Linked DNA regions of Ovis aries. The protein of the gene in region 4 purifies or fractionates together with the protein of the main gene of each other region. This does not show direct contact. Links are inferred from orthologs where the notes say so. Each region holds a gene or a part of one and is shown on either strand. Other genes may lie near its edges. The genes, in order: STRIP2, PPP2R1A, STRN, SIKE1, STK24, STRN4 and STRIP1.

Region 1 (3,500 bases), on a different chromosome or scaffold from region 4:
AAAAAAGAACCCTGTAAGAAATCCTGGCACTCCTGGAAAGATAAAGGTTGATTCCGAGGGATCCAGAGCAGGATCTACCACTATCTCCCCTTCACGTAAGTACAAGGCTACTCCTAGTACACGACACGATTGTCCTTGAAAGGCAGGGACCTGGCTTTCCCAGCATGACTTGCGTCATCCTAGCCCTGATAACACCATCTCTCTCCCCAGTCTCCACCCCTCTCAAGTTGGCAAAGGTGGCTGCTCACCTTGGGCCAGGTAGAGAACAGCTCGGGCCACCTTCAGTCTCCGTTCCCTACTGACCACCTCCAGCCGGTCTAGGAGTCCCATCACATAGGCCTTCTGGGCATCTTCCTCCAACTCCAGCCACTCCTCACCCTGCACTGGGGACAGGAGGACATAGAGATGCAGTGTCAGCTGTTGCCTCCCCTTCTTGGAAAGGCTTCTGAGAATGTATGCACCTCTGATGCCAGCCCCCACCAACAAATTCTTCTCTTCAAAAGCTTTACTGAGCTGACAAAGAATAAGGAATGGGAAAAGTAAGCAACCAAATGTTCTTGCCTGAACCCACTCTATAGCCTCGTCTTCCTCCACACCCCCTCTATCTTTCTGTCTTTCCTCAGGGACTTCCCTCTGTCTCCCTACATATCCAATTCCTATACATCGTTACAAGTTCAGTACAAAATCACCTCTTTTCCACTAATGCTCCAGCCAGAAGCTTTGCCCATGATACTTTTTACTTCTCTAATGACACTACTCATTTTCCTCTTGGCCTCAGCTAGTTTCATGACGTACACATTTCCCCTCGGCTATCTAACTATAATTTCTTTGAAGATACTGTAAATTTACCTCTACCCTTGCCTCCTGCATCTCTGGCACAAACTGTATACTCACCACACATGTGCTGAGCTGAACACTGAATTGACACTGACCAAGTAAGGAAATGGAGGTCTGAGTCGGTCACAGTGTGGGCACTGAAATTGTTACTCCTGATGGTATCGGGAGTGAGGCAGAGTGGAGATGGGTTGAACACTAAGGTCAAAGGCCAGGCTGGGCACAGGGTTACTAGTCTGAGTGGGTCACAGTGTGGGCACATGAAATTATTACTCCTGATGGTATCGGGAGTGAGGCAGAGTGGAGATGGGTTGAACAGTAAGGTCAAAGGCCAGGCCGGGCACAGGGTTACTAGGTAACAGGACAGCAGTCCAGCAACATCTCCTCACTCCTTTGACATCAGGAAAGGCCCCAGATCAGGCTTCTCTTACTTCCACTCTGTGACTTCTCTACTTGATACAGAAAACCCATATGCAAGAAGGAATAGAGAAATTACGTGGCTGTGAAGAGGAGGAAGGATCATACTTTATTTTAGGCTTTTTCTAGATCAGCCTGGGATATCACAGAAAAAGCAGATCTCAATGAATAAGGATCTGGGATCACCTTGGGTCTTGAAATCCTCTTCAAAGCACCTCCTGTTAGTGGTAAATTCTGGGTTTTCGGTGTAGCTGTACAATTCTGTGGCAGGAAAGAGAGGACAGAATCATAAACATTTAGCAGATCTTCACAGAAGGGGCCTGGGATGGAGACAGTGGCATGAAAGAGCTAAAGCTTCCAACACGTTCCTGTGTCCAATTCAATCCAGAGCCAACTTCCTCCTTTTCGGAGGTTAAAAATAGCCACTTGTGTCCCTGGGTGATTAAAGCATCAAACCTGTCCTCCTCCTGCCAGCTGGCTGCTACGGCAGAGAAGGCAGCCTTCGACATTTGTTGAGGGCCAGGAGGAGGGCTGGGACAGAGAAGGTTTAATGTCATCATTCCTGTTTCTTAGGGCTGCATCCTTTTCTGCTTGTCAAGCTAGACTGGAACTATCTTGTCTCTAGGGAAAAAGCGGACAATACAACTCCTGAAATTTAGATGCCAGATCCTTGTGCCATTCAAGGAGCCAGGGTGAGGGCTGGAGAGGATGTAAATATTAGAGGGCTCTTTGGGGTTGGAGCCAGTTCATTCTCTCCCTGTGGAGCTTCCTCGAAAGGTATAGAAGTTTACATTCCCGCCCACGGCCACCTGGGCAGAAACAGCATCAAACCATGTACAAGCAGCTTTGATTGTCAAAGGGCCGCCTGTGCCCAGGAAAATCTAGTGAAAATCTTTGCTGGCAATAGCCTCTCAATACAAAATACAGAGAGCTTTTGAGAAAAAAAAACACTCTTTCACACCTATACATGCTCACATCAGAATACTTCATCAGTACTCTTGTCTTACAGGGGATGAAGAAGTAGTCAGTAGGTCAAGAGATGCTTCCTCAAAACTGTTCCCTAAGATCCTGGCTGGAAATTTAACTAGGTCACAGATAATTCACAAAGCAAGAGACATTCACTTATGTTCCAGCCGGCTGTCTTACTGGTCAAGAAATACCTTGTCTGGGAGCCAGGGCTTTTGCATTCTGAGTTCCAGAGTCCTAGAGTGACCAGAAGCAAATCTCAGCTCTGATTGTGAAATTCTTCAGTCATTAGTGAGTAGTGTAGATTTATATTTTTTAAGAGTAGGGCACAAACCAACTCAAAAAAGGGAGAAAGGCTCTTAGGTGCTGACCTTTGCTTTTGTCTTATTTTTAAATTTTAGATCATGAACTTTGATACTCTACAGGTAAATATAGAATGCATAAAAGACACTGTGTTTATCTCTTCAGATTAAACAAGTGTTAAAACTTGTCATATCTGTTTCAGACATCTAAAGCCCCTTCTTCCTCCCTGGTCTTATTTCCCTCTCTAGAGATAACCACTATGATGAAACTGGTGTGTATGCTTCACATGCCTATTTTTATACTTTTAGTATATGTGTACATGCCTGTCAACCACACATGATATTATTCTTTTTTTAAAGCTTTTATCCAAATGGTATCATATTGTATGAATTATTTTTACTTAGGAGTGTTTTTATTTTTCCTTAGGAGCATTTTTTATTAAGTTTTTCAAGATTTTACATGAAAAGCAGTGTGATGAACAGATCCATTCATTTAACTGACACGGTTCTCAATCAAGTGTGCAAGCAGACATCTAGAAACATCTTTAGACTTGTGTGTTTAAGCAGTTTTTTCCCCCTTGTTTCTAGTTGTTTACTCTCATAACAATGCTTTAAGTTAGAGGATAATTACTTTATAATATTGTGATGGTTTTTGCCATATATCAACATGAATCAGCATTAGGTATTTAAGCAGTTTTCTGGATGCATGTATAAATTATTTTGTCACTGTTTCTTCTACCCCTCAACATATTTCTAATATTTATTGACACTGAAGCATACTAATACAGATCAATTATTTTAATGACTATACAGTAGCTAATATATTGATATACTACAGTTTACCTAGTCCCCTAAGTTTTTTTCAGTTGTTCCCAATGATGACAATAAACATCTTTTAAGTGTTTTCTTGGGCTTAAGAGTTTCTTTTAAAGTGTACCAGAGTTGTTGGGTCATAATATGTATGAATTCAACTTTGCTAGA
Region 2 (3,337 bases), on a different chromosome or scaffold from region 4:
AACCAGTGGTTCTGTCTAGCCACAGTCCCCAGCCTGCTCTGCCGCGGCCCTGATGATCCTGAGAGCTCCTGGCCCACTCTTCTCACGCGTCAATCACTGCCCACGCTGTGTGTATTACCTCGTTTAGTCTTCATTCCTGCCCCGCTCAATCTAGAGTCTGTTACCCCATTTTACAGTCCTGCAATCTGAGACTGGGCACCTACTCAAGGCCACACAGCTATTAATGGAAGGACAAGGATCTGGACGCAGGCAGTCTGGCACCAAGGCACCTGCTCTAACCACCACACACTCAGCCAGCCTCTGTGAAACCTAAGTGCACCTCAGGACTCCGCTGGCCCCTGGGGCCAGGGGCACTCCCATCGGCTTCCCAGGGAATCCTCCTCACTCGCAAGGACAGGGATGCGGCAAGTCCAGTCAGTCCTCGCCAGACAGAAGCGCAAGGCTGGGGCCCTGAGGTGGTGCCCCCTTCTCCATCTAGTGACTAAGACCAGAGGACCAGCTATTTCTAGACCTTTATTTCTCTGTGAAAAGGGGGGCAAGGGAATAAAATAAAAACAGCACAATTGACACAAAAAACCCACCGAGAGGAAGGGAGGGAGGTGGAGATGGGGGAGGGGTCCCCATACAGCAGCAGGAGCCGGCGACCTGGGATGCTCCCGCCTCACCCCAAAGGGCGGGAGTGGCCCCTTCCTCCCAGGGTCTCTGCTCTGTCCCACCTTGTGCGCCCCCAGCCCCGTGGGGGGGTGGATGTCCCAGGCTGAGGGAGGAACCGTGCCGGGGAAGGGACCTGGGGTCAGACCATGCACAGGGAGTGACAGCCAAAGGCCCCCACTGTCCCCCCAGGGAGGAGCCTGGAGGGGGAGGGCGGACACCGGAGGCTGGCGGTGGCTCCTCTTCCAGCATCAGGCAAGAGACAGAACTGGGGGAACAGGAAGAGACGGGAGTCAGAAGGCAGCCAGCCCGCTGCCCACAGCCGCTCCCAGGCCAAGCATCGCCCTCGCAGACCCCCACCCGCTCCTGCCAGCGTCTCGGATTCCTGACGCCTCACCAGTCAGAGCCTCCTGGGCAAAGTACTTGACGTCCACGTCCTGGTCCTGGGTCAGCTTCTCGAGGACGGGCTTGACCTCACTCTGCAGCGTGCTGGGAAGAGAGGGGAAAGGCGAGGGGTCAGAAAGGTGGGGCTGCTGGGTGTCTGCACAGACGCAGACACACAGGTGCACGAGAGCTCTCAGGGCCAGAGCAACCAGTACTTGGAAGGCTGAAAGTCTCACAAACCAGGACAGAGGCCTCGGGGGCCCAGAATAGGTATAGGGAGGTGAGGTGGTGTGGAAAGGTGGGGCAGAAAACCCAGAACCCTCAAGTCTCTGAGCCTCGGCCACGTGACGCCTTGTATTTGTGTAACATTATATACCGAGGCCTACTGCCCATCAGGTGTGGACACAGTGGAAAACCCAACCCTCCTGACTCTCACCCACACGGAGCCCAGACTGGGAGAAGGCAGATCAAATTGCTGACAAGTAACAGGAGAGGCGAGCACCTGAGGGAGGGACTCGGCCCTACAGGGGCCCAGGGAGGTAAGGGCCGAGGGAAATGCTTCTGCAGCGGCAGTCAGCTGTTTGGGGGACGAAGGCGGTCTTCAGAGAGAAGCTAAGGGGTGAAGCTGTGTCCTGGACAGACAGGTGCAGGCGTCCCAAGGCCCTTCCCCCAAAATAACCACCATTCTCACTTCCATCGCCTGCGTCCCCCTTGATCCATTTTTGAAGTTGATACAAATGCAATCGTGTGTGGAGGAGGGGCAGGCCTCACCTGTTGTCCAGGATGGGCCCGATCTTCTGCAGGGACTTGGCCACGTTGAAGCGGACATTGGCGACAGGGTCCCCGGCCATGCGCAGCACGGTGGGCAACATGTGCTTGGTGGTGATGTCCTGCCCGCAGACCTCGGACAGCACCTGCAGGCCAGGGAGCAGCAGAGGGTGACTCCCCAGAGTCCTCGCTCCCTCTGACCGGGACACTTAGTGGCCATCGGGCTTGGGGATAAAACTAGCTGAGCATCAGGGGGACTCTGAGCTCAGACTCGCCCAGCCTGAGGGCCTTGATTCTCCACAAGTTCCCAGGTTCCCTAACACCCTCTTCACTCCACCATCTCCCTGCCCTGAAAACCCCCAGCCCACACTGTCCCACCCCAGCTCCCTTCCTCAGAGTCTCCCTCATCCTCTGGGGATGGGACTGGATTCCTGACCCTGGGATCCCTTCCTTAGTGCTGTGGTCTCCAGAGTGATGCACAGGAAGGGATTACCGGAACAATTTTATGCTAACTTTTAAATCTCATTCTTTAATTTGTAGTTATGTGGTTTAAGTGGTTTTAAGTTTATTTAAGTGTATGGTTTATTTACGTGACTACATACAAGTACTTTCTACTGTATTTATCTATCAGTACTTTCTACTGTATTTATTTATCACACATTTACATATCACACACACAGCATACATATCACACACACAGCATACATATCACACACACAGCATACATATGCATCACATACACACCATACATTACATACCACACACACACAGCATACATATCACACACACACCATATATACACACAGCATACGTTACGTGTCACACACACACACCCCATACGTTATGTATTACATACACACTATACATATGCATATTACATACACACCATACATTACATATGAACCACTGTTCTAAGCTGTATAACCAGATCAATGTCACAGCCTCGGGAGTCTGGGGCTGTGATTGTTGGTATGAACCCTTTACAGGTGAGAAAACTGAGGCACTAAGTAATTTTCTCAAGGTGCACAGTCAATATGTGGCAGAGCTAGAATTAAACAGTAGGTCTGATTCTAGAAACTGTGCTTTAACCGTTGTATCATAAATATCACTTATTTTGTGAGGAAGGAGGGGGTGCTCAGACAGACCTGGCCATCACTGTTCTGTTGGCCAAATTTCCCCAGTCACCCCCACGCAGGTCCCCACCTGCAAAGGCCCTATACTCTGACCAGGGAGCCCCAAGTTCCAGCCTGCAGTTCCCCAAGGACTAACCCCTACGGCCCCAGATCCCATCACTTTCCTACTCCCAAGCCAGCTTTCCCCCGAGGACCTTCTCCATTCCTCCTCTCCCGTCTACTTCCCCTCCCCCAGGGAGAGGTGGGGGCCGGTGGGCGCTCACATTGATACAGAAGAGTGTGGTCATGCGGTGCAGGTAGTTGGGGTCCCCAGACATGGCCAAGACCTTGGGGATGATAGTTGCGTGGGCCCACTCCTTCCCGAACTTCTCCACCAGCTTCTTCAGGTTGCTGGTGGCCGC
Region 3 (4,036 bases), on a different chromosome or scaffold from region 4:
GCTAATAAGAGAATCAAAAAACAGATTCCTACAAATTCTCTCCTTCCAACAGCATATACTTGTTCTGTTTAAAAGTCACGGCACATTTTCAAAGTTTCTCCATGGATGCTTAATTTTAACTGGAGCTCAAACCAAGAGTCAGTGAACATGTAGTATTCTTAATATGATGAGCACCAATAGGAAATCTACCCGAAGTTTAACATTTGCCATAAATAACCCAGTTAAGTAGTGTGTGTATGTGTGTATATATTCTGGGGGGCAGGAGGAGAGAGGGCACAACTAAAGAGAAACTACAACTACAGGGAAATTAAAAGTTAAATATGGGGGTGGAGGGAGAGAAGTTAAGATAGGTTGGAAATTTTCAGACTTCCCAGGTAGAAAGGTAAGAACTGTTTTGTTTGTTTTTGAACAAATTAGTGTGACTTATCTTACATTCCCTAAACTGGATAAGAAGTTAAAATTTAAGCAGCTACATACAAAAATCATTATCCATAATTGTACAATGGTTAAAGTTAAAGCCTGCCTTTAATACTTCCTTGAAGTCTGAAATCCACAAACTCATTTATGGAATGCATTGCTGGTTCATTATGAGAAAAATCACAAATATCAACAGACTAGATACTGACGTCACAAAACCGTACCAGTGAAAAAGCTGCCAAAGAATATAAACATGTAATTGTATAAATAAGCAGAATCTCAGAAACTATAGATCACACCCTCACTGCATTCAACTTCTCAGAGGCCTTCCCTGACCTCCATCTAAAACAGCTGCCCCATCAAAGGGGCTTTCCCAGGTGGCTAAGTGATAAAGCATCTCCCTGCCAACGCAGGAGACTCAGGAGACTAGGGTTTGATCCCTGGGTGGGGAAGATCCCCCGGAGGAGGAAATGGCAATCCACTTTAGTATTCCTGCCTGGAAAATCCCATGGACAGAGAGGAGCCCGGTGGGCTACAGTCCATGGGGTCGCAAAGACTCATACACGACTGAGCATGATCACACCTTACTCTTGTATCCTATTTTTCCCATAGCAGTTGCCACTATGGATCAGCATACTGTATAGCTGCATTTGCTGCCTCCCAACTAAAACATAAGCTCTATGAGGACAGAGGCTTTGTCAGTTTTGTTAACCCCCAAGCCTACAGGCACAGTGTTACCACCTAATAAAGACACTGAATATAGGATGAAACCGAAGTTCAGAGAGTTTGTTAAAGGATTTCCTCAAGGTCACAGAGCTGGCAGCAAACACAGCCTGTATCATAACCCTCTCTGCTTGCTCTTTCCACAACCACTTCCACTCCACCAAAGCAGTCTGGTCCAGCACATGATTCCATTTAACACGATTCCATTTCTTTTCAAGTGCCAAAGAAAATACATGCTACCAAAAACAGTGGCACAGTGGGTAGTATTTTAACTTCAAGTATTTCAGCAACCAAAAATATACTCAGATTTCACAAGCATACAGGATTAGCCAGTAAACAGAAAGGCACAGCCACTCAGAGTTTTCTAAGTTCTTTGTGAAATTGGTGAATGCCTTGGAAGTTTTAAGAACAGCCACTGAAACCTACTTACCAATTCAGAACTGTCTGCAAAGTACCAGTCTCACTCTCAGCCTTCTAAGAGCCCAGAGTAGTTCCTCCCTGGATACACTTTATCTTGCAAATTATGCAAGGAAATGTAAGCAACTTTAAAGCTCTTTTTAGTTTCCCGTTAAAGTATAAGTCAATCTCACAAAACCCTGAACAGAAAATTAACCCGTGGGAAGTTTTAGATTCTGAGAAGGGGAAATCATCTCTGAACCATCATCTGGCAGTGCTCATCTAGGTCCTTCATTCAAAATCCAGGAATCTGAAATACCTAAGAGAAACGCCGGAGGGGGCGAAGGAGAAGGAAAAGAAGAAACATTTACATTTTTAAAAAGCGAGCTGATACTCCTAGTAACACTCTGGCCCAACAGCAGCTTCTTGCTTAAAGTCAAGGCCTCACGGACACAATTTCTGGTTGTCTTCTTTGATCACCTTCCTTACAGAGAGGCGCCAACTGTCAATACCTTTTACGGGGACCATCTCTAGACCCAGGATGGGACTCCCCAGGACAAGGGATGATTGCTTATCTCGCAAAACTACTGTAAGCCCAATTAGTAAACTGAAGGGAACACCTCAGATGTGGAATGGCAAGAGAGCTGAAATGAACCTGAGAGTTAAGAGTGGAAAGGAGCAGATGAAAAGGTGTGAGGAAGGTAAACAACGTATCAGGAGCGAGAGAGAGAACCCGGGTCGAGGAAGTGGGGTCTGCGACAGGCAAAGGCGAAGGAAGGAGGGGGACGAGGTTCGAGGTGGGATGGGCAGGAGCAAAGGGGGAGGGGACGAGCGACGGCTAAGCAGGGGAGGGGGAAGGGTCTGGGGCGGGGCGGAAGGGAGCGAAGAGGCGGGATGAAGAGGGCCAGGCCAGGAGGGTCTTTACCTGCAGCTCCGCCCGCTCCACTTCCCACTGGGCTCTCTCGACCTCGAAGCGGGCCCACTCATGCTGCAGGAAGTGCAGGATCCCCGGGAGGCTGTACTGGGCTCGGGCCGCCCCCGCCGCAGCCGCCCCGTCGCCGGCCGCGGCAGCCTCCGCCAGAGGCCCGAGACCCTTGGCACCACCGGCTGCCGGGTGGTTGTTGCTGAAGAAGACGCCGGGACCCGCTTGCTCGTCCATGGCGGCCGCAGGAACCGGGGAAGCTGCCCAGGCACCCAGGAGCGGAGGCAACGGCGGCAGCCAGCAGCGCCGCCTCCTCCCTCCGCCGCTCCCCGCCCACACCCCAGTCAGCAGGGAGCAGCCGCCTGGGCGCGGGGGCCGGTCGAGCCCGGGACGGGCCGGGAAATGGGTCAACTGCGGCGCGCGGGCGGCCCGAGGCTTGCTGGGAAATGTAGTCGGGGGGCGGGGCGCCGACGAGGGCGGGGCGGGCGGCCTGTGGGGCTGCGTTCAGACGGGGCGCTAGCGCGGCCCCGCCTACAGCCCCGCCCCTGCCCGCGGCGGTGGGGGCCGCCCCCTGCCGGAATGCGCGGGTTTCCTCACTGAAGGGGCTGGGCAGCCGCGGGCGGTGCTTTGGTCTCCCTCGCACGCGGAAGTTCTTGGGTGGCGCTCGCTGTTGCACACACACGCACACTCACGGAAGTTAGCGCGTTGAAATGTTAGCCCGAGTTGCACATCTTTTGGAGCTTCCTGGTAGTTCTGATAAAAAAACAAGCTCAAAGCAAGCTTCGCCAGTCCAACCCCAGGACCGGGGTTCTCCAGCCACCACTCTCAGACCCCTTCTGCTCAGACTTCGGTAATTCTCTGACCCTAGACACGCCTCAGTTTTGTCCACTTCCGTATGGCTGTCGTTCCTGCCTTTCTTTGTCGCTTAGGGTTCAATTAAACCTGTTTCCTGATCAGTTCTCACGGAGAAGGATCTCTGATCATCTTTCTACAGAACTCTACACAGCAACTTCCTGCTTCTTCCAAATTCTGGTTTGTTGACACCTCATTTGAAACCCTACTCCGCTGAAGTCCTTTTCCCTTTGTAGTTAATCTTGAAGTAAATCCTGTAAAAAGTTTTGGATATCCAAGGCTCTGTCATTTCGATCTAATTTTTCCTCATTTCCGAGCAGTTTATACTCATTTCAATGTTTGACTCTTTAGTGCTGTCACTGGGAATATAAAGATAAATGACACAATTCCCATGGTCAAGTCCTGCCAGTCAAAGAGACTGGCAATGAGAGAAAAGAGAGAAATGTACATCAGTTCTCACGGTGCCTGAAACTACCTGCAAGAACAAAGTCCCTTTCCACGCCCTAGAGCTCTCTTAGGTATGCAGACACTTCTCCCTTTTCACTTACTTGTCCGGTTCGCGGTTTCTTCCATGGTTCACTTGCAAACTGGCATTATTGTTACCCTACGAAAGACACACCAGAGTCGTTTCAAGTGTGTCTAATTGTTACCTTTCTCTCAAGTCCTTGAAATTATGTCACTATAAATTCACACTACAATGATAATGAAAGGAAGGCACCTGAAAAA
Region 4 (3,970 bases):
AAGCTTTTCATATAAGCTAAATTCTGTCTTCTTCAAGGATCAGGTTTTTCTCCTTTGGACCACAGATGAAAGTTATTCACATATTTAAAAGATCCCTGTTCCCTATGACCTTAGTTAGTTAAACTAATTAAAATGCTTTCGATGGAATCTAAGATGAAACTTATCTTCCATAAATTCCACTGTAGCAAATAGTGAGGTGTCAATCTATTAATTTAGGATTAAATAATATAGTACATGCAAACATACAAAGACAACTCTAAAGCACTCTACAAACTTAAGAACAATTACTGCATCTCGCAAAATAAACCATAAGCAACGAGAGTATAGAAACTATGCCTTTTTTTTTTTTTAAACCGTACTTCTCTCTCCTAACAACATAGTATGATGCTATGTTTACTGACCCCCCTGCTATGTGACAAGTACTATGTTAGGGATAAAAGAAATTCACACTCCTTACAAGCAAGGAGCTTACAGTTTAGTGAAACATACCATAATAACAACTCAAGTATTTACTGATTACCTTTAACACTAACAGGCTTCCCTTGTGGCTCAGCTGGTAAAGAATCTGCCTGCAATCCAGGAGACCTGGGTTCAATCCCTAGATTGGGAAGATCCCCTGGAAAAGGGAAAGATTACCCACTCCAGTATTCTGGCCTAGAGAATTCCATGAACTGTATAGTCCATGGGGTCCCAAAGAATCAGACATGACTGAGTGACTTTCATTTTCACTTTAACGCTAACTGACATTGTTCAGTGGAAAAACGTAGTGTTCATTAACATCTTGAAGAGAGATCTTGGTGGAGGGATGAACTTGAGTCTTACTCAGATAAAAGGCCCTTTACCCCCTTTTTTCTACTCATATCTTTACAAAGCTATACTAAAACCTACAGCAAATGTGGTAAACATGAAAGGAAAACAAGTTTACTTCAAAAGCAAGCACATGATCTAAAACAATGTCAAGATTTCAATTCATTTAGAATTTATCCATCAAAGTTTCTTACTGCAGAGTGAGACTGGTGAGCTTTCAGGACTGGTTCAGCATCCGCTGCTTTTTTAGCAACCATTAATTGTAACATCTGTTTTCGGTATTTGCTCATGATGAGTTCCAAAGCATCCTGGTGTTCCTCCAAGGAAACCCATAGCTCTATCAAAAAACAAAATAACTTGGCAGTGATGTCTGAGATACCTCCTAAAGCCAAACTCAAACAGCTGGATTTTATGACATGCGTGAAATACTATGAACCCAAAGATGTAAATTGGTGTTTAAGTCCACAAAACTCAACAGCCATGGTCTATGCAAAAAATATCTTTCCAGGCAGCAGCAGCAAAATCTGGTAGAATCAACATGGGATGTGGCATCAGAAGACATGAGTTTAAGTTCAATTCTGTGAATTACTAGATTACTACTCTTAAATCATGTAACCTCTCTGAGCCTATTTCTTATCTGCCTTGTAATAATAAAAACCTGGCTTGTCTACTTCAAAATGAACATATGAGAATACATATATGCATTGCATGATATATGTGAAAGCCTTCTATAAATTTATATACAAATAACTATTCATACTACTATCATTAACAATATATTCACCAAGCCCAAGAATATACACCTGAGGATTAAATTAAGCTCTTCCACCTTGCATAAGAACATAAAAATCCCTTCAATCTTAGCTTTAATGTTTATTTCAATATTTAAACATTAAATCTTAAACCCTTGAGGATATTAACTCTTCCGTTATGCAACCCTCCATCTCCAGACACCTAACAAGCCATGCAATAATAATTCAACTCTACTAAGCACCTGTTGGATAAGCTGTGTTTAAATACAAAATCAGTCAGATGACCTTTAAAAGAGTAATGTAATAAACTTTACTGCTACTGGGTCATCACAGGCTATGGCAAAGTGAAAAGTGAAGTCGCTCAGTTGTGTCCGACTCTTTGCGATCCCATGGACTGTAACCTATCAGGCTCCTCTGTCCATGGGATTTTCCAGGCAAGGGTGCTAGAGTGGATTGCCCACTCCATTATTCTTGCCTGGAGAATCCCATGGATAGAGGAGCCTGGCAGGCTACAGTCCATGGGGTCGCAAGAGTCGGACACGACTTAGCGACTAAATCACCACCACAGCATGTGCACTTTTGTGACTTGCCATTTTTGCAAGAACTTTTGAAATATTACTGGATATGAGAAAATCATTACACACAAAAAGGCCTGACTAACCTCTGTTTTCCTGCTGCAAGTCTCTAATCTGTGTATTCTCTTGGGACAGCAGAATGTGAGGTTTGTATTTGGACATGTCCTTTATATCGGATGCGTCCTCTTGATACTGGACAAACAAGAGACAAACTAATCGCGCTGTAAACAGAACAGCCGCAGATGCAACTGAAGAGGTAGGAGGCAGAACTCCAGGACAGCACTGGCAGCCCCGACCCCACAGTAAAGGTCTCACAGCCACCCTCTGGGCCCAGGAAAAAACTCCAAGCCGAGTTTCCACTTTACCTCATCCTCCGCCCCTCAAGTGCCCAGAACCCGAGGGCACGGGCCCATACCCTCTGCCTGACCTGGTCCGGAAGCGCTGTCCCCGCCTCCCGCATAGCGGCTACCCGCCGGTGCAGAGCCGCTGACTGATCCACCAGTGACTCGGCGGCCGCATCGTGCTCCCTCAGCCTCTCCAGTAGAGTCTTAGCGTCTGTCAGAATCTTCTCGATGGTGCAGCTCATAGCGACCCCAGGACCGCAGTCAGAACACCGCTCACCGGTGCCAAGGACTCAGCGCGTCCCTGAGCAAGTCTCAGCGTTACAGACGTCACTTCCGGGTACGTTTAAAGGAGCCTCGGCGGTAGCTGCGATATGCGCTTGCGCAGTGGCAGCCTCCGTGGCTGGTGACCGTCTTTAACCTGTGGCTTCCTCGCATCCTCGCCCTGTGCAAGGGCCCCAGAGGACTGCCCTTGCCACGCCTTTGGTTTCCTGTTTCCACTGCCTGGTGGTCAAGTTGTGTTAAGCCTGGGCTAGTCTTGAGTTTCTCCTGTTCCTACTGGTTTTGATTGATGTGGATTATTCTTATCACCGTTAAAAATTTTTTTTCCTCTAATGTGGTAAACACGCTTTAAATTTATCATCTTAACCAATAGTATTAAGTACGTTTAAGTTGTTGTGCAGTCATTACTATCATTCATCTGCAGAATTCTTTTCATTTTGCAAAACTGAAGACTTGAGAGTCTCTTGGACTGCAAGATCAAATCAGTCAATCCTAAAGGAAATCAGCCCTGACTATTCATTGGAATGACTGATGATGAAGCTCAAGCTCAAGTGCTTTGGCCACCTGATGCTAAGAACCGATTCACTGAAAAAGACTCTGATGCTCAGAAAGGTTGAGGGTGGGAGGAGAAGGGGGTGACAGAGGATAACATGGTTGGATAGCTTCACTGATTCAATGAACATGAATTTGAGCAAACTCTGGGAGATGGTGAAGGACTGGAAAGCCTGGTGTGCTGCAGTCTGTGGGGTTGCAAAGAGTGGAAAGCTACTTAGCAACTAAACACAACAGCATTAGACTTCAACTCCTTATTCTGCCTTCCTCCCAGCCCTTGGCAACCCCTCCTCTACTTTCTGTCTCTACGAATTTAACTACATTAGATACCTCATACAAGTGGAATCATAGAAATCATAATTGTCATTTTTGTGAATGGCTTATTTCACTTGGCATAATGTCCTCAAGGTTCATCCATGCAAGCAGAAATTCCTTTCTTGTTAAGACTGACTAATATTCATATATGTGTGTGTGCATATGTACAGGCTTCCGTGGTGTCTCAGTGGTAAAGAATCTGCCTGCCATTGCAGGAGACTTCATGTTCTATTCCTGGGTCAGGAAGATCCCATGGAGGAGGAACTGGCAACCCACTCCACTGTTCTTGCCTGGAGAATCCCATAGTGGGCTACAACCCGTGGACATGACTCAACAATGACAGCTA
Region 5 (3,500 bases), on a different chromosome or scaffold from region 4:
CTTTTCCCTGTTTCTCTAAGGGGAAGGATGTCCGTGGGTGGGCTGGACTGGGGCGGGGACCTTGCCCCCTTCTGTGCTCATTCCCTTCTGCCCTTGCTGTAGCTGAGCCCAGCGCCATGCCAGGTGATTGACGCTTCAGTGAGCCAGTGCGGCGCTGGGCTTCAGGGGCTCTGATTGTGAGCTGGTTCACGGGGCCGAGAGGGTGTCGGGCTGCACAGATGCGGGCTTCTCAGCCCTTCAGAGACAAGCTGGGAGGAGAGGAGAGACATTTGTGCTGGAATGTTGATCGACTTCCCTGCTAGCAACCCCTGTGGAAGCTGAGCGGCCAGCACTGGTGTTCTCCTTGTAAACAACTTTCCCCTTTTTTGGTCTCAAAAGCAGCACTTAGTCTTTAATCTGGAAAATACTGGAAAAAATGAGCGAAGGGGAAAACATCTGTAGGCCTAATACCCAAGCACAAGCTAAGTTATTTTGGTGTCCAGTCGCGTCCGAAATAACTGTTTGCAGTCACCATGGTGAAGGATGAAAACAGGTGATGTGTTGATGGAAAAATAAAGATGAGTGGAGACACGGTAGGACCGGCCCATCTGTTGGAATGTGTACAGCCAGCTGGTCCACTGGGTACGTGACCAACCCTCCCGTCCCGATGGCAGCCCATGGCCTCCCCGGCTCAATCCTCAGGGCCAGGAGTTCCCACCTCCTGGCTGGGAGGGATGCACTTTGCACACAGGGGAAGGATGTGAGCGGAGAAAGAATCCAGCTTTGTCCAAGCGTGAGGTAATGGTGGGGCCATGTATTGCTACGGAGTCGGTCTCAGACGGTTTCAATACCTCTCGTGCGACTTAATGTGTTTCTGAATATTGCATCTTATTGAATAGTTTCTATTAAATCCATTTTGGGCTGTGTTTTAACTAGTTATAACTGTTATTTGGGATTCTCCATTTTTTTTTTTTTCTCCTGTCTTCCTTTTTTTTTTTTTCTGGCTGCCCCGCACACTGTGTGGTATCTTAGTTCCCTGACCAGGGATCGAACCCATACTCCCTGCAAGGGACCCATGGATTAACCACTGGAAGTCCCCCTCTGTGGTTCTTCATAGAATATTTTCTATACATAAATTTTTTTAATACATAAAAAAAAAGTTGTATTTCGTCTGCAGAGGTGTAGCCAGGTGACTTTTGCTTAACTAAGTGTTACTGCGAGGATTTTGAGAGCTGCTGTTGGTGCCCCTCTTGGGTCCCCTCACCCCCACTGCTCATCAATAACGGATAATTCTTCGTTGTCACTTTTAGGAGAATGCTCCCCAGGACTAACCACATACGGAAAGAAAATCTGTTCACAAGTAAATATCTGCAGTTCAGCTGTGATTTTTTTTTTACTTAGTCTCATTTTTGAAAACCACTGTTGGTTTCCCTTAACAGCTGATTTCCCAAACGATGGTAAAACAGGTCTCCTCTTATACCTCAATTTTAGTTGCTTGAAAAATGATTGCCCTCTCCCATATAATTCTTATTTTAAAATTCAGACACATTTTAAAATCTGATGTTGTAAATCCTAGATACCGTAATAGACAAACTCAGTTGATTCTCTATCAGCATCAGTGTTGAATATTTGATACTTCAGTCAAGTTAATGTGTCATAGCAATATAGTCATTCTTCTAAGGTTTTAGCATAAGTAATGCTGTTTTTGAATATTTTAGGCATCCCTTACCATTTTCTAAATATAAAATTTATTTAGGATCGATTCCTAGACGTGAAATTAGTTGGCTTTAACAAGTGTGGGTATTTTTGTGACTTTGACTGCATAATGCCAGATTGCTTGCCATTTATTCAAGTGCCAGTCAGGGTTTCCAAGTTAGTCAGCAGGATGTTAGATATATGCAGGCGGAGCCTGCAGTCAGGAAGACCACTCTGGAGCCCCTCATGGAGCCCTAGGGACAGAAGACATTTCTGAACTAAGCCGGAGGCAGGAGGGGTAGATGGGGACTCAGGGCGCCAAGAGGTCAAGAGCCACACACCTGGCAGCTGGTTGATATAGGAGGACCAAAGAGAAGTTCCAAGGGTTGGGCCCAGGCTCCTGGCCTGGCCGCCTGGGAACAGGGATCTCATTTCATCCTGTTGTGGCTTAAGGGCTGGCTTCTAAGCATCTCTGGACGTGGTGGCTGCAAACGTGCTGTGGTCCCCAGACATGCCGTCTCCACTGACCTCAGGTTGCCTGTCCTGTTGACTCAGGGACTTAAACAAACGTGGAACGTCTCCCACCTCTGGCAGCAAAGGGAAGAGGTGTAATCATCAGAGCCAGCTTCCACGTCGAGGCAGAAGATGATATTATTACATGTCCTCCTGTGTGTTGCCTTTTTTGAAGTTACACCAAAGGCTTTATCTTTAACAAATTTTTTTCAGTTAAGAATGAGTATCTTATTCAAGACCTCAGAAGCACATTAGTTTTTGGTTTTGTTTTTTACCTTCTAGGAAGTACGTTTCTTTGAACCGCCTCCCCTCCGAATGTGTAACTAACTAGCTGTGTTTCGCTGTTGCAGGCGGACATCTGGTCCCTGGGCATCACGGCCATCGAGCTTGCCAAGGGGGAGCCGCCGCATTCCGAGCTGCATCCCATGAAGGTCCTATTCCTTATCCCAAAGAACAACCCCCCGACGCTGGAAGGGAACTACAGCAAACCCCTCAAGGAGTTCGTGGAGGCCTGTTTGAACAAGGAGCCGAGCTTTGTGAGTGTCTTGACCTGGGAACGGGCATCTCCCCCCATGGGGGCCTGATGGGTCTGGATGCGTCTTAGTGGTCTGTTTTCCTTCTCTGCTTTCAGCTGTCTTCATGATCTCATTTCTTTTTCTAAATGGGTATGATTGATTTTTTTCTGAAGTGGAAATGCTTATTGTTATTTTATCTTTTTAAGGCTTCAAAGTCTACTTACCGTCTTTCAGATTTTCTGGTATCTCCTACCGCATTGAGCTTTGAAGACTGTTCTCCTTAATATTCTATGTGGGATCATACATTTTTAATATTTATAGTGGAAGGTTGGGCTATTTTTAGCTGTTGGCGTATCTGCAAAGTCCGGCCTGAGAAACAGTGGCTAAGTAAGTCTTTAAAGTAAACGTTTTCGGTTTCTTCTTGGCATGTGTTAGGAAGGGAAAGAGGAATGAGATGTAAACGTAGTCCCGCCTTGCTTTCCCCTCTTCCTTCTGACTGTCTCTGCTTTTGAGTTGAATCTGGCAGAGCCATGTGGCAGAGATGACTGCATGGCTTCAGCCTCATTTTCTCTCTGAATTAGGATATTTCTTGCAAAGTTGTCTGTGTATTTTGGTGTTGCATGTCACACCGTATGTCCTTGTTGGGTTTCTGAATTTTCCAGCAGGGTTAGCCACAGGTCAGGCTGAAACTTCTAAACTCATATCCCCACCCCCACCCCCCCATTCCCTACAAAGAACTCTTATCTAAAAATATGCTTTTGTTGTTCAGCTACTCAGTCGTGTCCAATTGTTTGTGAC
Region 6 (3,500 bases), on a different chromosome or scaffold from region 4:
AGGAAGCTCAGAGACCCGGAGTGGGTGCCAGGGTAGAGGGAAAATTCCGAGACCATGCTGGAGGGCGATTCCTGAAGGAGGCCACACCCGGTGGGAGGCCGTGGGAAGGGCCTCCTGGGGAAGAGGGCCGATAGCACCACCAGGCCCCAAGGCAGGCAGGAGGCGGCTGGGCCTCGGGGCCTCCAGACCGAGGCCGGGGTCACCTGCGGGAGACAGGAGAGGGGAGGCTGGACCACAGTCTCCAGGGTGCCAGAGGTCAGGCAGTTCCGGCCCTTCCTCTGAATGCTGGGGGGCCACCCTGGCAATTCTTGCAGGGCATCCCAGCTAGGGTGTCGGGATTTGGCACCCTCCAGAAATGCCAGGCGGGAGTGAGGGTGCCCGGGGCTTCTGCCCTCCCAACCCAGCCTCCCTCCCTCCATCCCCTCACCTCAGTCCCACTGCCCGGCCCCACCCCCCAGCCAGCGTGGCGGCCTGGGCTGGAGGGCCAGGTGGGCATCATACGAAGACCTTGGCCAGGGCGTCGGCGCCTGCGCTGGCAATGAGGGCCTTGCTGGGGTGGCAGGCGACTGCGTGGATGGCCTCCTCATGCTTCTTGCGGTGGGCCGTGATCTCCTGGACACACGTCTTGTTGTCCAGGCTCCACAGACGCAGCGAGCAGTCGTGGCCTGTGCGGGTGCAGGAGCAGGAGGGGCTGTCGCTCAGCAGCTCCGGGTCCCCCAGCTCCCCCAGCTCCCCGCCCAGACCTGCCTCCTGAACCCGGCCTCCCTGGAGACAGCTGAACCGCCCTGGGCCATCCTGTCAGGCCAGTGCCTCCTCTTCATCCCCCTGGGGAGTTTCAGCCCCTTCTCCATCCGCCCGAGTCCCAGCCACGCCATCGAGGAGCAGTCACTGGGGCTTGGTGTCTTTATCCACAAATGGCAGGTGCCCCACTGCTAAGAGTCCCCTGTCTTGCGGGGACTGAGAGTCAGACAGGCCTGAACGTCAATTCCTGCAACCCGCTGGGCTGTGACCAAGTGAAGTGACTTCTCTAGGCCCAGTTTCCACATGTGCACAGTGGGGGCTCCAGTACCAACCTCATTCAAATGCAACAGGGCCGTGTGGGAGCGCGCCTACCGTGGCTCCGGTATCCCCACCCCCGTGACCACTCTAACCTGCCACAGAGGGGCTCCTGAGCCCTGCTCAGACAGCACTCCCACCAGCGCCCCAGCCTCAGGGAGCCCCCAAGCATGCCTCTCCCGCTCCTGCTAGGAAGGGCACGTGCCCTCACTCCTGAGGGGCCAGGAGGCCCCCGACTTACTTCCTGACATCAAGAAGACACCATTGGGGTCCACGGCGAGGCAGGTGACCGCATCCAGGTGGGCGACCATGGAGTGCACCGATTTCCCTGCAGGGAGACAGGGTGGGCAGCAAGTTACTTTTCCACTCTGTGCTCAGCCTGGAAAGGTGTAGGGGCTAGCGGGGACACTGAGGCTCCAAGGTGGACTGACCAATCTCCCGCTCTGAGCTGGGCTGACCCCGCCCCCCAACCGCACAGGTGAGCGGGGGCTGGGGAGGCCGGGCCTCACCTGTGCGGTTGTCCAGAAAACGGATGCCTCTGTCGTCATGGGCGGTGATGGTGAGGGGCTGGCTGGGGTGACTCACCACCTGGTTGATCTGGGTTGGGCCTGAACAGGAGAGAAAGCAGAAGTCAAGGGGGGGCGGAATCAGGGAGACCAGGAGGAACAAAGACAAGAGGAGAAACGGCCATCCCATCCCTGTCCTCTGCCGAGATGCCAAGCGGGGCTGGGCGCCCCAGCTGCTCCCTCCAGGGCCCAGGGTTTCTCCATCTGTGCCGTGGACGCTGCATGGCCCCTGGGCGAGCAGGAGGGATGGCAACCGTGAAGGCAGTGCTTCTGCTCCACTGAGCGGTCCACAGGGGAGCCCCTGGGATGTCTCTCTCCCAGCCCTCCGGAGATGTCCGTAAGGGCACAGTGACTGGGACTTGATCTCCATCCTGCTCGGAGCCCTGCAGAGGGCAGGGCAGCCACTGTCCACTGACTGGGCAACAGGTCACCAAAGCCCCAGGAGAAACTGGGGCCCTGGAGGCATTCAGGCCTCAGCCCCTGGCCCTGGGCACCCCCTTACCACTGTTCCCCCGAGAGTCCAGCGTGAGGAGGGCACTGCCAGCCTCGAGGTCATACAGAACAGTGTCGCCAGAACGGAAGGAGGCCACGATGTGGGCAGGCTCGGTGCTGGTGAAGGCCACTGAGGTGGGGGTCCCGTGATCTGAAGGCAGAGGAGACAGAAGGCTGCCAACAGCCCTGCTCCTGCCCTGTGGCGGGAAGCCTGGGCCCCAGTCAGAAGTCGACCTCCCCTGGGGCCTCCACCCCCAGGGTGTCACAGCCCCCCGCCCCGCCCCTCACCGCTGGCTGTGGAGAAGGTGCAGAGGCAGGTCGGGCTGCTGCTGCTGGGGTCCCAGATGCGGACAGAGCCGTCGGCAGAGCAGGAGGCCAGGCGCTGGGAGGCAGGGCTGAAGGCCAGGCCCCACACCGCGTCCCCGTGGCCCTCCAGGACGTGGCTCAACACGCTTGGGTCTGGACCCGCCAGAGTGGGGAGAGGGCTGCGTCAGGGCCTCTGTCCAGCTCCAGCTCGGACAGCCCAGCAGCCCCACTCTGCCGAGTCACCCTCCCCCCGCCCCATCCTTGTGCCCTCAGAGCTGCTCAGGCTCCGACCATGGGCCGGCTGTTCTGTGAAGGTTTCAGGCTTTCAATGCCCCCAAAGTGGAAACTCCAGAGGTAGGGATGATCTGGCTCCCTGCCATTCCCCCAGGCCCGTGACAGCGCCTACCACAAAGCCCTGCACGGAACATAACTTTTAGGACTCAGTTAAGGGGATAAGGGCCAAGACTTCTGCAGCCTGGCCCCTGGAGTCAGCCCCACCCTCTGTCCCCGCAGTCTTTTCTTGCCCATTCTCTCCTCCAAAGCTCTGAGGTCATTCCCACCATGACCTCCCTGGTCACTTGGGTCCATGTGGGGTGCTCTGGCTGGGCCCTGCTGACACCCAATGTGTGACAGCCTGCCTGGTGAACAGCAGACACTGCCTGGGGCTGACCCCTGATCTTTGACAGGGTGAGACGATCCTGAGAGGAGACACAGATCCCCAAACTCTGCCCCGACATGCTGCGGCATGGAGCCAAATGTGATCAAAAGCATTATCAAAAGAGGTGTCAGAGGGCAGGGACACGGACACTGAACCAAGGGGACGGTCTGCTCACTTCTCCACTTAACAGTAAACCCTGTAGCCCGGCCCAGCCAGCGTCTCCACCTCCCCAGCCCTGCCGGCTCCGCTCCTCCACGCAGATGCAGGCGGAGACCGTGGGGTGCTGCCAGGGCCCACCACGCCTTCACCTGGCTTTGCCCAAAGCTCCAGCCCAGTGAGCTGCTCTGTGCACCGCTCACCCACCGCCCCCTCGCTGCCTCGTTCATCTGACCCTCGGTCACGTGCTCAATCACCTGGGTCCT
Region 7 (4,205 bases), about 4.8 Mb from region 4:
GTTACAGCACATCGCTGCCTTCACTGTTCTGACGTTTTCTCACAATGTTTTGTCTTCTGGGTTAGTTCGGCTCTCCCTACCAAGCCCTCTCAGAGCCCCTTGCACTACTCCTTCATGGCACTTATCATAACTCATAATTATACATGCGCCTGTGCGTCTGTTTAGTGTCCATTCTTCTCACCCATGATTTCACAATGCTCAGCACAGTACTTGGCATGGGTGACTGAATGAAGAGCATATACTCAAATAACAACTTGTTGGATAAATGAACACTAAAGCTTCCATGTGTTCCATGCAATGAAATGATCATTCCACATGGTACTAAGGCTTTAGAAGCCTCGTTTCTTTCTGGCTAGTGGGCTATCAGGGAGAAGGCCATGGCACCCCACTCTAGTACTCCTGCCTAGAAAATCCCATGGACAGAGGAGCCTGGAAGGCTGCAGTCCATGGGATCGCTGAGGTCAGACACGACTGAGCGACTTCACTTTCACTTTTCACTTTCATGCATTGGAGAAGGAAATGGCAACCCACTCCAGTGTTCTTGCCTGGAGAATCCCAGGGACGGGGGAGCCTGGGCTTCCGTCTATGGGGTCACACAGAGTCGGACACGACTGAAGTGACTTAGCAAGTGGGCTATCAACAGCTCAGTACAAAATAAGTATTGACACCCTCAGTCTTCCTGCCTTTCTCTCAAATTTCAGCAAGAACTGACAGAGAAGGCAGCAGCTGAACAGAAATGGTTTCCCTCCCACACATAGGAGAGATTATGGCAAAGAATCTTTTTACTGCTGGAAATAAGTGAGTACTGAGAACACACCATCTGGGAAGCCTTGTTCTGGGAAAAGAACAGAGGTGAAGAAAAAGGTAGTCCTCAGCTTAATTACTATCTACTTGGGAAGACAATGACCACCCACAAAATGACATAACATACCCTCAAACATGAGTAACATAAATAACTCTACTTCTTATTCAGAGGCAACAGGCTGCACAGTTTCATAAGTTCCTGAGCTTCAGTTTCTTCATTTATGTAATGAGGATGACAAAAATCTATCTTGAAGGTTTTTTAAGGACTAATTAAAACGATGCCGCACAGTGGGCTCTCGTCAAATACCTGCCTCCCTGTTCTGCAGGCACGCCTCTGGCTCCCAGCCTACTGATTTCAGCTTTGACTCAAAAGAGAGCTGTATCAGTATTTCTAAGAAAATAGATTCTGACAGGTCTCTCAGCTTAAATGTGTTCACTGAATGACCTTCCATGTGTTGAATCTATATAGAAATTAAAGGGTAGAAAGTACATTTAATAGAAACACTTAGGAAAATTGTTAACTACTGAACAACTACGATGCCTCTGATGATGAAACTGGATTCATCCCTACCACTTTTAAAATCCTCCATACTTGAAAAATTATTAAGCAGTCACCACTGATGTGCAATCAGCCCATCATGCAAGGGCTACTAAAAGGTCGGTTTCATTGCTTTTTCAAATAATTCACTTCAAGCTCAAAGTGCATCTGACTGGAACTTGTCAAATTTTGATGTTTGACCAGAGGTTTGTTCTTGCCAACAAAACCAAGAGCTTGAGAGGTACTGATTTCAGGTGTCTAAAGATAGCATCATCACTCAGGTATGACCTGATACATTATATCTGGACAAGAAAAAATGCCCTCTCATTAATAAGCATCTGACTGTTAATCAGCCTCAGGGTTGTCTCAGGTGAAAGAAATTTCCTAGTAAGTGCTCTGGGAACATGCTGATTAAGAAGCCCTAAAACGCTGCTACGTGTGTGTCTTCATTCATGAATTCTACAATGGAATGCAGTGGGAGTAATTCTTCAACTCGGGGTGAGGTGACTAGTCAGCTCCAGACTACGGTGTCTCCGGAATGGGAGGAACAGCCCACTAAACAAGAGAAGAGAGATGTTGAGCCTCAACGCCTGTTTAATTTATTTCTGATCTTTAACAGTTGAGCATCGGGTGGACTGGGCACACCAACCACCGGGCACTGTCTAACCGTGGCCTGAATCTGCAGTGGCTAAGCTCAGAGCAGAACAAGACTGCTCCCCTTTCCAACCATCGCGACCTACAGGCGCGTAGTATTGATACTATTAGTGCTAATTAATTAGCTCAGTCCTTCTCGGAGGTGCCTTCCCAACCCTCGCCAGTCCTTTCCCAGCCCACACATGCCCGCCACCGTGCGCCGCGGAACTCACAGGACCAGAAGCTGGAGATGATTAGGGGGTCTGGGGTGTAGCCGCCCCGCCCTCTAGAGCGCACGCAGGTCACTGACTCTTCACCCGAGAAATGGGGCACGGGGCGGACTTCCCAGGGGCTGGAGCCCGGAGACCGCGCCCACAGCCCGGACCTCAGAAAAGCCAATACGGGCTCCGGGAGGTTCTCCCGGTCGGCAGAGCTCGGGTCGGGGACCCCAGCTTCACGCCTCCGACTCCCGGGGATGTCAGCCTTGCTTCCTGCTCCTTTCGCTGTAAATGACAACTCCCCTGCCGAACCCTCCAGGAAACCCAGCCTGGACCCGAAAGTGGCCCAGAAATGGGGCCGGGGTCCACCGCCGCCGCCCGCCTGGTGCTAGCCTCGCCCCCCGAAGCTCCTGACCTCCGAGTCTTTTCGCTGGTTGCGGTTGAACTCTCGGGCTTTGCCACCAGGCAGGAGACCTCCGGCGGTCCGCGGTGCCCCAGGTGGAGGCTGCGCGGTTGCAGGCGGCGGAGGTGGCGGCGGCTGAGGCTGCTTGTTGTTCATGATCAGCGGGCCGGGAGTGCCGGCTACCGGCTCCATCTTGGCGGCTCCACACCCCCGGCTCAATTCACTGACTATGGCTGTGATGCAACTCTCGCGTGATTTCGTCCCGGAACGCGCCCTGGTCGCCATATTAAGTGTGGCGGCACATGCCAGCGCCATCTTGACTGTCCAACACCTCGCGAGATTTTCTCTGTTTGTGAAATCTTACCCTTCTAGTTTGTGTTTCGGTTCCAGTTTAGAGATCGCAGTTTTATCTGCAAAACCTCCCTTAGCCCCTCAGCCAGTTTAGTGGAACCCCCCTCTTTCCTTTAACATCGCTTTGCTCTTGTTACTTTCACAGATCTGTCCAAAGCTTGCGGGATATTGTAGAGAACAAAATGGACACGATCCCAGCCTTCATGGAGATTACGTTCACGTGGGGGAGACGTGGGAAAGGAATGAGTAAATCAATGAAACAATTACAGTTACGACATTCTTTTAATCATTCATTCAACAAACATTTAATGAATGTCTCTTAGACTAAAGGCAGTGCAAGAGAATGGGGAACAAAATCAAGTTCCTACACTAATGAAAAAAGTGAAATGATCTGTAACATAGAGCCTGTGGGTGAGCCAGACAATGCGCTCACAAATAAGTGCTGAGAAGAAACGAAAGAAACTGTAAGGCATTGGAAGGTGACAGTGATCGAGGTACAGCTGGGCTATGTTAGGTAGGCTGCTTAGGGAAGGAGGGGCTGAGAGTGATTTTGAATGAGTTCTGAAAGAAGTGAGGGAGAGCCATGCCAATATCCATGGAGGTAACATAGAGGGACCAGCTAACTGCAGAGCCTCCTAGGTGGCTTGGCAGGAACTGAGTGAGCCAGGAGAAGAACAGTAGGAGATGAGGGCCGTGTAAATGCAGGGGCCAGATAAATATAGGGCCTAGAAAAGCATAGAAAGTACTCTGGATTTTATTTTAAGTAAAATGGAAAACCATCAGAAAGTGCTGACCTGCTGCTGCTTTTGGAGAAAGCATTGGGGTGTTGCAAGAGTAGGTGAGGGTGGACAGGTTCAGAGACTATATAGATGGAAATGATGGTGTCTTACGCCAGGTTGGAACATTGGGTTGATGTGGTATTTCTGTATTGTGTAGGTAGATTTGCTGAAAGACTGGAATCCTATCAGCAGGATAGGAAGGAATAAAGGATGAGTCCTAAATTTTTGGCTTGAGCAGCTGGGTGGGTGGTTGTATTGCTTATTAAAATAGAGAAGTCAGAGGAAAATAGGTTTGGAGGAAGATCAAGATGTCTGTTTTGGACATGTCGTGTTTAAGATGCCCATTTGACATCTTAGAGGTGATGCGTAGTAATTACCTGATACTGTGTTGTGAAATCCTTAAAAGCATTTTAGTTATCCTTGTTTCTCCAGAACTACATTTTGGCTGCTCAGTTCTTGGAAAGTCATTGTGATGCAAC

What was found.
Region 1: the proteins of SIKE1 (region 4) and STRIP2 purify together in Homo sapiens (affinity purification with mass spectrometry; 3 studies listed by BioGRID and IntAct, with this or other methods). This does not show direct contact. The link is inferred for Ovis aries from reciprocal best matches to the Homo sapiens genes SIKE1 and STRIP2.
Region 2: the proteins of SIKE1 (region 4) and PPP2R1A purify together in Homo sapiens (affinity purification with mass spectrometry; 6 studies listed by BioGRID and IntAct, with this or other methods). This does not show direct contact. The link is inferred for Ovis aries from reciprocal best matches to the Homo sapiens genes SIKE1 and PPP2R1A.
Region 3: the proteins of SIKE1 (region 4) and STRN purify together in Homo sapiens (affinity purification with mass spectrometry; 4 studies listed by BioGRID and IntAct, with this or other methods). This does not show direct contact. The link is inferred for Ovis aries from reciprocal best matches to the Homo sapiens genes SIKE1 and STRN.
Region 5: the proteins of SIKE1 (region 4) and STK24 purify together in Homo sapiens (affinity purification with mass spectrometry; 4 studies listed by BioGRID and IntAct, with this or other methods). This does not show direct contact. The link is inferred for Ovis aries from reciprocal best matches to the Homo sapiens genes SIKE1 and STK24.
Region 6: the proteins of SIKE1 (region 4) and STRN4 purify together in Homo sapiens (affinity purification with mass spectrometry; 3 studies listed by BioGRID and IntAct, with this or other methods). This does not show direct contact. The link is inferred for Ovis aries from reciprocal best matches to the Homo sapiens genes SIKE1 and STRN4.
Region 7: the proteins of SIKE1 (region 4) and STRIP1 purify together in Homo sapiens (affinity purification with mass spectrometry; 3 studies listed by BioGRID and IntAct, with this or other methods). This does not show direct contact. The link is inferred for Ovis aries from reciprocal best matches to the Homo sapiens genes SIKE1 and STRIP1.

The regions. Positions count from the first base shown.
Region 1 is NC_056057.1:95,037,012-95,040,511, reverse strand, and holds part of STRIP2 (striatin-interacting protein 2), read right to left. Parts: intron 1,513-3,500; coding exon 1,438-1,512; intron 384-1,437; coding exon 249-383; intron 1-248. UniProt on the Homo sapiens protein: Plays a role in the regulation of cell morphology and cytoskeletal organization. Required in the control of cell shape. Calmodulin-binding scaffolding protein which is the center of the striatin-interacting phosphatase and kinase (STRIPAK) complexes.
Region 2 is NC_056067.1:58,174,942-58,178,278, reverse strand, and holds the end of PPP2R1A (serine/threonine-protein phosphatase 2A 65 kDa regulatory subunit A alpha isoform), read right to left. Parts: coding exon 3,200-3,337; intron 1,950-3,199; coding exon 1,807-1,949; intron 1,141-1,806; coding exon 1,049-1,140; intron 920-1,048; coding exon 903-919; 3' UTR 501-902; downstream 1-500. UniProt on the Homo sapiens protein: The PR65 subunit of protein phosphatase 2A serves as a scaffolding molecule to coordinate the assembly of the catalytic subunit and a variable regulatory B subunit.
Region 3 is NC_056056.1:87,081,726-87,085,761, reverse strand, and holds the start of STRN (striatin), read right to left. Parts: upstream 2,801-4,036; 5' UTR 2,696-2,800; coding exon 2,462-2,695; intron 1-2,461. UniProt on the Homo sapiens protein: Calmodulin-binding scaffolding protein which is the center of the striatin-interacting phosphatase and kinase (STRIPAK) complexes.
Region 4 is NC_056054.1:92,154,047-92,158,016, forward strand, and holds the start of SIKE1 (suppressor of IKBKE 1), read right to left. Parts: upstream 2,801-3,970; 5' UTR 2,721-2,800; coding exon 2,562-2,720; intron 2,327-2,561; coding exon 2,221-2,326; intron 1,145-2,220; coding exon 1,002-1,144; intron 1-1,001.
Region 5 is NC_056063.1:74,810,233-74,813,732, reverse strand, and holds part of STK24 (serine/threonine-protein kinase 24), read left to right. Parts: intron 1-2,537; coding exon 2,538-2,723; intron 2,724-3,500. UniProt on the Homo sapiens protein: Serine/threonine-protein kinase that acts on both serine and threonine residues and promotes apoptosis in response to stress stimuli and caspase activation.
Region 6 is NC_056067.1:53,600,438-53,603,937, forward strand, and holds part of STRN4 (striatin-4), read right to left. Parts: intron 2,574-3,500; coding exon 2,403-2,573; intron 2,266-2,402; coding exon 2,125-2,265; intron 1,665-2,124; coding exon 1,566-1,664; intron 1,385-1,565; coding exon 1,298-1,384; intron 666-1,297; coding exon 496-665; 3' UTR 428-495; intron 204-427; 3' UTR 1-203. UniProt on the Homo sapiens protein: Calmodulin-binding scaffolding protein which is the center of the striatin-interacting phosphatase and kinase (STRIPAK) complexes.
Region 7 is NC_056054.1:87,345,493-87,349,697, reverse strand, and holds the start of STRIP1 (striatin-interacting protein 1), read right to left. Parts: upstream 2,801-4,205; 5' UTR 2,789-2,800; coding exon 2,609-2,788; intron 1-2,608. UniProt on the Homo sapiens protein: Plays a role in the regulation of cell morphology and cytoskeletal organization. Required in the cortical actin filament dynamics and cell shape. Part of the striatin-interacting phosphatase and kinase (STRIPAK) complexes.